Drosophila melanogaster: one gene and its partner. The protein of the gene in region 1 interacts with the protein of each later gene in a pairwise test. Each region holds a gene or a part of one and is shown on either strand. Other genes may lie near its edges.

Region 1 (4,515 bases):
CACACTATGTACGTATATGTATCAAAAATGTTTGCTATATGAGCGCACGCGGTGTATGCTTCAAAGGTAAGAACATAGTTATTTTAACTAAAATGGTTAAGGAATGGCACTCCGTTAACTTTCGAAAGTCATCGAAAGCGGAATGTGGGCGGTAAGTGCTGTAAGCGCAGACTCAAACCTTTGTAAAGAATTTCGAAAGGAATTTGAATTTATACACAACTATGCGGCGGGACAGAGAGGGCGAGCGAGTGGGAGCGAGACAGCAGCGGCATGGAGAGCACGTTGAAAAAATCAGCTGTTTGTGGGACAGCACCAAAACAGAAACAGAGATGGCAGAAGTAGAGCGCGGCAGACAAAGCAGCGAGAGCGAGAAGGAGACGCGCGTAAGAGCGAGTGCGTCAGAGCGAGAGATAATGAAGATGGCAGGGGGAGGGTAAGGAGGTTAAGCACGCCGTGGGCTTTAAATTTCATGAATGCGAGCGCAAAAAACTGGGCAAAAAGAAATGCGAACAATGCAGAAAAAGGGGTAATGGAGAGAACGCAACCAAAACAACGGAATATAATAAGAGCGCTTTAAAAGCTCAGTTAAGCGAATTAATTTGCATGCCATTCGCGCGTTCTTGCACTCAAAATGTGAATATGTGGGTGCCCCCGACCCTTTGCTTACCAACACCACCGCCCCGCCCCCCCCGCTTCGCTCCTCCACAGCCCTTTTTGACTTTCCCCAACGCTTTTCCTGCCAATTGTTGTTCGTCTCGGGCATTGTTGCTGCGTGCTCTTTGTTTTTGCGCTTCATTTCATTCGTCACTTAAACACCCCTCGTCACTTAGTGCCCCCTACCCCTTCCCCATCAGACCCACTGCCCCCCTGCCGCACAAAATGCAACATCCTGGCAGCCATGTGATGCCAATGCCGATTCCCTATGCCGATTCCACACAAAAAGGCTGCAGTAAGAGCCCTCGAGGACTTTCCACTTAGTCTCCTGAAGAGAACGCGCCACTTCAGAGTTTTCAGGAAGTAAGACAAATAATTGCCGTGGCTCGATTTAATCCGCCATTTAAGCGCATTTAAGCCGCTTATTCGGCTGCTTAGTACTTACGTTTTCTAGGAAACAGAAACATTCACCCGAAGTTAATCCGCCGCCGATAACGCCGCCGCCAGCAAAATAAGGCCGGCGGCCCAATTAACAACGCCCATGCAACACGATAATTAGGTGCAACTTTTCTCTTCTTCGATCACATAACGAAAGTTAAATGTAAATGGGCTTTGGAATTCACAAATTTTTACGAAATTTTCTTTTCTATGCGTTTCCTGCGAAATTTCTCTCAGCGGAAAACACGCTGTGGCGAGTTTGAAGGCTTCACCAGGAATTTGTTGACTTGTCAGTGCGCCTCGAAGTTAGTGATGCGCAGGCGAATGGCCGCAAAAATAATCGCATGAATTTGGGCAAATTGGTAAGCAGAGTGCACTCGTCTATTGATGAGCAGCAGTTTTATTCAGGCAATTAGGTGCATTGAAAACTTCCAAGTGTAAATATTTACCTTAATTCCATAACATAACTGCCTTATCGAATGCTTTTGGTTAACAGTTAGTCACTATGGCGCGCAGAATAATTGATTTAAAAATTTGAAGCGCAATATTACGTTTTAAGAATGTAATGATCAATAAATGGCAAGAAATCAAATCTACATAATAATATATGCTATCATATTGAAGAATGTAATGAAAAACAAGCTTAGTTTATATAATTAATTAAATGACAAGTGCATACACGCTGGCGTTGCCAGACTGCTGCACATTGTTAACTGCGTGCTGTTAAGCGCAGCCTAACAGCACTCAAGCAGTGCGTGGCATTTCGACACATACTATGAACGGTAACATTGAGCACATAAAAAACGTAAACAATTCATTGTAAATTACAATTTCCCGCTTTTATTGCACAAAAATGTCCATGCAAAAGGCCAAAGTCATCGACCAGAAGGAGTACCTCAAGAAGTACCTATCCGGCGACAAGGAGAAGAAGAAGAAAAAGAAGGAGAAGAAGCACAAAAAGAATTCGGCCAACACCAAAGTGAAAATCATCGATGACGACGCCTACGAAAATGATAATCTGGAAATGGACGAAGATCTACTGCTGGGCGGCGAGGATGCGCCTCAAATTGTGGGCGAGTACATCGAAGAGGATCCCAATGTGCGCAGCAAGTGGCGCAACATTGCCGTCAAGGATGAAATCAAAGAAGAGCACGAGGAATCCTCGCCAGCAACTGGCATTCGCATCAAACAGGAGCCCTTGGATGAGGAGCAGGAGATGTGGGGACGCAAGGCGACAGTTGTTAAGGTTAAGGATGAATTCTCACCATCCAGACGAAGTTCACCCGTCAGAATTAAGCAAGAAAAACGCAGCAGCTCTAGGGATTTAAGCCCAGCGAGATCGAGTAAGCCAGCAAAGCGAGAAGAGAGTCCTCAAAGGGGGCGAAGAAGGGCGGGAAGCTCAGATCAGAGTCCCACCAGACGAGGGCGAGATGGCGATCAGTCTCCGCCACGCCAAAAGCACAGGGATTCCGATCAGAGTCCACCCCGAAAGGCCAGGAATGGCAATCAATCGCCAGTCAGAAAAAGGCGGGATTCCGACCAAAGTCCGCCAAGAAAACGAACGGGAAAAGCATCACCCACTCGAAGGAGAAGGGATTCCGATCAATCGCCACCCAGACGCCGCAGAAGTAACTCCGATCAGAGTCCGCCAAGGCGACGTAGAGACAAGGATTCAACTCCGCCCAGAAGGAGGAAAGATTCCGATCAAAGCCCACCTCGAAGGCGTAAAGCAGACGATCAATCTCCGGTGCGAAGGGAAAGGAAAGACTCCGACCAAAGTCCGCCTAGGAAACGGAGAGACAATGACCAGTCTCCAGTGCGAAGGAGGCGGGATTCAGATCAAAGCCCGCCCCGAAGACGCAGAGATGACAAGCAAACGCCGCCAAGGAGGAGAAGAAACTCCGATCAAAGCCCGCCAAGAAGACCCAAGGATGTAGATCAATCGCCACCGCGAAGAAAACGAGACTTCGACCAAAGTCCAACCAGAAAACGAGACAAATCACCACGCAGACGTCACGACTCCGACCAAAGCCCGGCCAGAAATCACAGAAGTCGAGAGCGCAGTCCACCGCCTCGTAATCGCTTCAAGGAAGAAAGGAAAAGTCGCTGGGCCAAGGCATCGCCCAGCAAATCAGCATCTCCACCTCCGACACACAAGCCGAAATCCACCAAGACACTAGATGGCAAGAAAGCTGGACTGCAGGATGCGAAATCGCTGAAGAAGGAAACCGACGAAAGGCGTCGACAAGAACATGAACTATTCGAGAAAATGTCCAGCGAAATTTCCGGTCGTGATGGCGATGTGCAGGTGCGCAGTACTCGCAGAAAGGGACACCGAGCACGAGATGCCGCCAATGAGGATCCCGCCGAGCAGGGCCGCAAAGAGGAGCACGAGAAAAAGAAGAAGGAACTGTACGATCGCTGGGGCAAGGGGTTGAAGCAAATAGAAGATCACAAGTCCCGCCTGGAGGAGATGGTCCATGAGGCCTCCAAACCGGTGGCTCGCTATGCCAACGACGAGGATCTGGACAGGCATCTGCGCGAACAGGAGCACGCCGACGACCCGATGCTGGAGTACATGCGCCAGAAGCGCAAGAAACGCGACCAGCAGGACAACAAGCCGGTGATGCCCAAGTACGAGGGCAGCTTTCCGGAGAACCGATTTGGCATCCGACCAGGATATCGCTGGGATGGCGTCGATCGATCCAACGGCTACGAGCAGCGTTGGTTCGACAAACAGAACGAACGGCGGGCCGTGCAGGATGAGGCCTACAAGTACAGCGTGGAGGATATGTGAATGTTGCAAGCGTTGTTTGCTTTCGTGTTGCAATAAAGATGTAGGCACTGCCTGTAAAAAAGAAAAGAGCAATTACATTGATCGTTTTCTTTGTTTTATTGAATTATTTTGGAAAATAAAGAATGTAAATAGGTAATATAATATTTAATATTTATTTACAAAAATTTGATTTTCGAAATGCCCGCCACTTTCCCGCCAAATCGACGTGCCACCTGCAACACTGGTCGCCAGCGCAATGCAACCCTGTGTGTAGAATAGCGGAGCAAAAGCGAATGGTAAATAGTCTTCATCTACACCTGCGACCTGCTCGTCGCTCCCAAAAAATCGTTTCAAAACCACGGAATAAACCGTGTAACTGGGGAAAACCCATTGTAATTATCAAGTTTAAAGTGTGCCGCACATTTTGGCTTCAAAACCAGAATAGGTAAGTGACATCATCTGCTAAATAGAAGCATTCTAAGATTTTTGCTTTGTAAGCAATAGAGTATCGATGTGTGTGTGTGTATGTAAATGGTTCTGCTTTTGGTTGCTTTGTTGCTGCTTTCGTTACAGCGAACAAAGCGTAAGCAACTGTATATGTGTATCGAGTGGGACGCCAGTGGTGTGTGTTTGTTGCCCCGCCCCCA
Region 2 (4,080 bases), on another chromosome or scaffold:
TCCAGGAACTGATTAACCTGAAGGTTCGAGAGACGGAAAACTGCTCGCTCGCGGAGATCGAGGAGCTGTGCCAGCAGGTGATCCATTACTCTGTGAAAACCTCGCACGGCCGCTTCCACAATCAGCTCTTTGGCCAGCTGGACCCGTTTGGACTGGCAGGAGCCCTGGTCACCGAGGCCATGAACGGCAGCACGTAAGTCTGCGCCTTATTCCACACATGTGTCTTGTCTATATGAGTGACCGCTGATTGCATCTCGTGTTCCAATCTACAAGTGGTGTCGGGGTTCAACGTACAGATAATTGCGCTATGTAATGGAGATTGCAAAGTACTACATGTATGTTTCATAACCCCCCCCCCCCCCTTTCGATTAATTTAAATGGGGATTAAGCAGAGTTCATACACAATCATTGCAAGTTATTAATCATTTAGATGAGATTTCCTAGATAGGACTACCAAAATCAGACTTTTAACCGAGGTATCCAACAAGACACAATAAACTTTTGTTTCAGATACACCTACGAAGTTGCGCCCGTGTTTAGCTTGATCGAAACTGAGGTGATCGCGACCATCTGCAAGTTAGCGGGATACAAGGAAGGCGATGGCATCTTTGCGCCCGGTGGCTCCACCTCCAACATGTACGGCATGGTTCTGGCCCGCTATAAGATCGCGCCCGAGGTGAAGACGTCTGGAATGTTTGGAATGCGACCGCTGGTGCTCTTTACCTCCGACGAGTCGCACTACAGCTTCGTGAAGGCGGCCAACTGGCTGGGATTGGGCAGCTACAACTGTGTGTCGGTGAGGACCAATGAGCGGGGTCAGATGCTGTTGGACGACCTGGAGGCGAAGATCGCAGAGGCAAAGGCACGTGGCGGTGAACCGTTCTTTGTCAACTGTACTGCAGGCACCACTGTGTTGGGTGCCTTTGATGATATCAATGGTGCGGCGGATGTGACGGAACGACATGGTCTGTGGCTCCATGTGGACGCCTGTCTGGGAGGCGCTGCACTACTCTCCGCCAAGAACCGATCGCTCATTGCCGGCCTCGAGCGGGCGAATTCGTTTTCCTGGAATCCGCACAAAACCATCGGCGCTCCATTGCAGTGTTCACTCTTTTTGACCAGGGAATCTGGCCGTCTGCTGGAAAGATGCAACAGCACCGAGGCGCACTATTTGTTCCAGCAGGACAAGTTCTATGATGTATCCTACGATACGGGAAACAAGAGTGTCCAGTGCGGCCGCAAGATCGACGCTTTCAAGTTCTGGCTAATGCTTAAGGCTCGCGGATATGGAAAGTATGGACTCATGGTGGACCACGCCATCCACATCGCCAGGTTGCTGGAAGGCAAGCTGCGCCAGCGTGGAGATCGCTTTAGACTGGTGATCCCGGAGCACGAGTACTCCAATGTCTGCTTTTGGTTCATTCCGAAAGCAATGAGGGTGTCCAGCGAGGAGGAGACGCCTGAATGGTGGAGTCGACTTTACACTGTAAGTGAATAACAATGGCTTTGATAGACCATTTAAGCTCACATTTTTATATGCTCCTTTAAAGGTGGCCCCGAAAATTAAGGAGCAAATGGCCCACAGCGGCACTTTGATGATTGGTTACTCGCCTCTTAAAGCTAAAAATCTGGGCAACTTCTTTCGCATGGTCTTCACTTGTTTTCCCATCCTGAAAAGCAAAGAGTTGGACTTCATTTTGGACGAAATTGAGAGATTGGGCGAGAAAATTGTGCTTTGAATTATTTTCTATGTGAATTAAGCTAATTAATGGAAATCGTTCAATTGTACATTTCATTGTAGTTATTACTTTGTGATAAAAAATACGCCTTTATTATGTAAACTCGGCTTAATCTCTATTTTGAATATTTAAATAAAAATCTTTCAAGAAATGAATATTAAGTTTTTTAAATTCATTTTCTACCGCTATCAACAAATAATATTAGCCTGGTCACACGAACATCCCCCAGCAGTAACTATCGATAAAAGTGTTCACGGGTATTGTTGTTATACCCCAGCGCGGTCATACCTTTACGTGAGATCAAAACAATAAGTTTTTGTTGAGAAATTATTTGTAAAACCACGCACATAAAAAGACGCTACGATGGGTCGCGCCGAGGTAGGTACGCCCAAGTACCTCGCCAACAAGATGAAATCGAAGGGTCTGCAGAAGCTGCGCTGGTACTGCCAGATGTGCGAGAAGCAGTGCCGCGATGAAAACGGCTTCAAGTGCCACACGATGAGCGAGTCCCACCAGCGCCAGTTGCTCCTCTTTGCGGACAATCCTGGCAAATTCCTGCACAGCTTCAGCAAAGAGTTCTCCGACGGCTACATGGAGTTGCTGCGCCGGCGGTTCGGCACGAAGCGAACCAGCGCCAACAAGATCTACCAGGAGTACATTGCCCACAAGGAGCACATCCACATGAACGCCACCCGATGGCTCACCCTGTCCGACTACGTGAAGTGGCTGGGCCGGACTGGGCAAGTGATAGCGGATGAGACGGAGAAGGGCTGGTTCGTCACCTACATTGATCGCAGTCCAGAGGCCATGGAACGACAGGCGAAGGCTGATCGCAAGGAGAAGATGGAGAAGGACGACGAGGAGCGGATGGCCGACTTCATTGAGCAGCAGATTAAAAATGCCAAGGCCAAGGACGGCGAGGAGGACGAAGGCCAGGAGAAGTTCACCGAGCTAAAGCGCGAAGAGAACGAACCACTCAAGCTTGATATTCGCCTTGAGAAAAAGTTCCAGCCTGACACTGTGCTAGGGAAATCCGCTCTAGCCAAGCGACCTGCCCCTGAAGCTGAAGAAAAGGTGTTCAAGAAACCCAAATCCGTGGCTGGAGACAGCCAAACGCGGTCGGTGCTGGACGAGATCATCAAGCAGGAGGAAAGCAAAAAGGAGCGTGCCAACCGCAAGGACTACTGGCTGCACAAGGGTATCGTGGTCAAATTTATTTCCAAATCCATGGGCGAAAAGTTCTTCAAACAAAAAGCGGTTGTCCTGGACGTAATTGACAGATATCAGGGCAAAATCAAGTTCTTGGAGACTGGGGAAAAGCTAAAAGTGGATCAAGTAAGATGGAAACCCAATTTTAATCTATAACGGATATTTACCCAGGTGTTTTTATTTTTTTTTGTTTTCCAGGCTCATTTGGAGACGGTAATCCCCGCTTTGGACAAGCCTGTCATGGTGGTTAATGGCGCTTATCGGGGATCCGAGGCTCTGCTAAGGAAACTGGACGAGCGCAGATATTCAGTCAGCGTGGAAATATTGCACGGTCCTCTCAAAGGCAGAATTGTAGACAACGTGCAATACGAAGATATATCTAAACTACATGGCGCCTAGCTGCGCTTTTCTAAGTTAAATTCTATAGTTGTACCTTTTTATGCCTAATTTGATATATATGTAAGTAAAAAATCTTAACCATTTCGGAGAAAGGCTGAAATCGAACTAGACAAAAATCTGCACATAATACGTTCGTTACTTAAATTTGGACTGCTCAGCATTTGGGTTAATAAAACATGACTTTTTAATGAAAATAACTAGAACACTCTCATTTACTCAGTGTACGAATATTTCAGTGGGTATGCAAACAATATTTTCGAGTTCAGTTTGGGAACAATAAAACCAGCGAACAATGGCCGCTTTACTAGCGATAATTTCTATACTTGCAAAACTTAAACTAGTTCCAGCATCGGTGTGCTAAAGAAGGGATATGAGGATTCTGTGTGGCATTGTTATCCTATTACGCCTCGGAGCATTGGGAGATATAGCTGTTGACGAAGAGGGAAGGTTGACGCGAAGCTGGTGGGATGCAGTGCCTAGACTTTTAACTGACATCGCCACCATTAAGGCGAACATACTCACAGCTGCTCCACTTGAATTGGCTTCCAACATAATTGATGCTGTGTGTAAGGATAACGTCCTGTGTTTATCAACATATAAAAAGTTATTTGATTTTATTGTGATCTAAATGCCAGGTTCTTCCACCCTCTTTATGGACAGAATCCCTGCGCAAATCACTCCGGACATAAGGAAGATGCATTTTCAGTACATGACGCCGTGCCAGAACTACAGT

Evidence for each region.
Region 2: the proteins of CG13625 (region 1) and kin17 interact in a two-hybrid assay, tested with the Drosophila melanogaster proteins (one large-scale study listed by BioGRID).

Annotation. Positions count from the first base shown.
Region 1 is NT_033777.3:24,582,511-24,587,025, reverse strand, and holds CG13625 (uncharacterized protein), read left to right. Parts: upstream 1-1,865; 5' UTR 1,866-1,945; coding exon 1,946-3,889; 3' UTR 3,890-3,959; downstream 3,960-4,515.
Region 2 is NT_037436.4:20,354,795-20,358,874, forward strand, and holds kin17 (kin17), read left to right. Parts: upstream 1-2,012; 5' UTR 2,013-2,102; coding exon 2,103-3,074; intron 3,075-3,146; coding exon 3,147-3,347; 3' UTR 3,348-3,537; downstream 3,538-4,080. Other genes in the region: CG5618 (uncharacterized protein), read left to right, coding at 6-193, 511-1,486, 1,551-1,739; CG5665 (uncharacterized protein), read left to right, coding at 3,718-3,913, 3,983-4,080.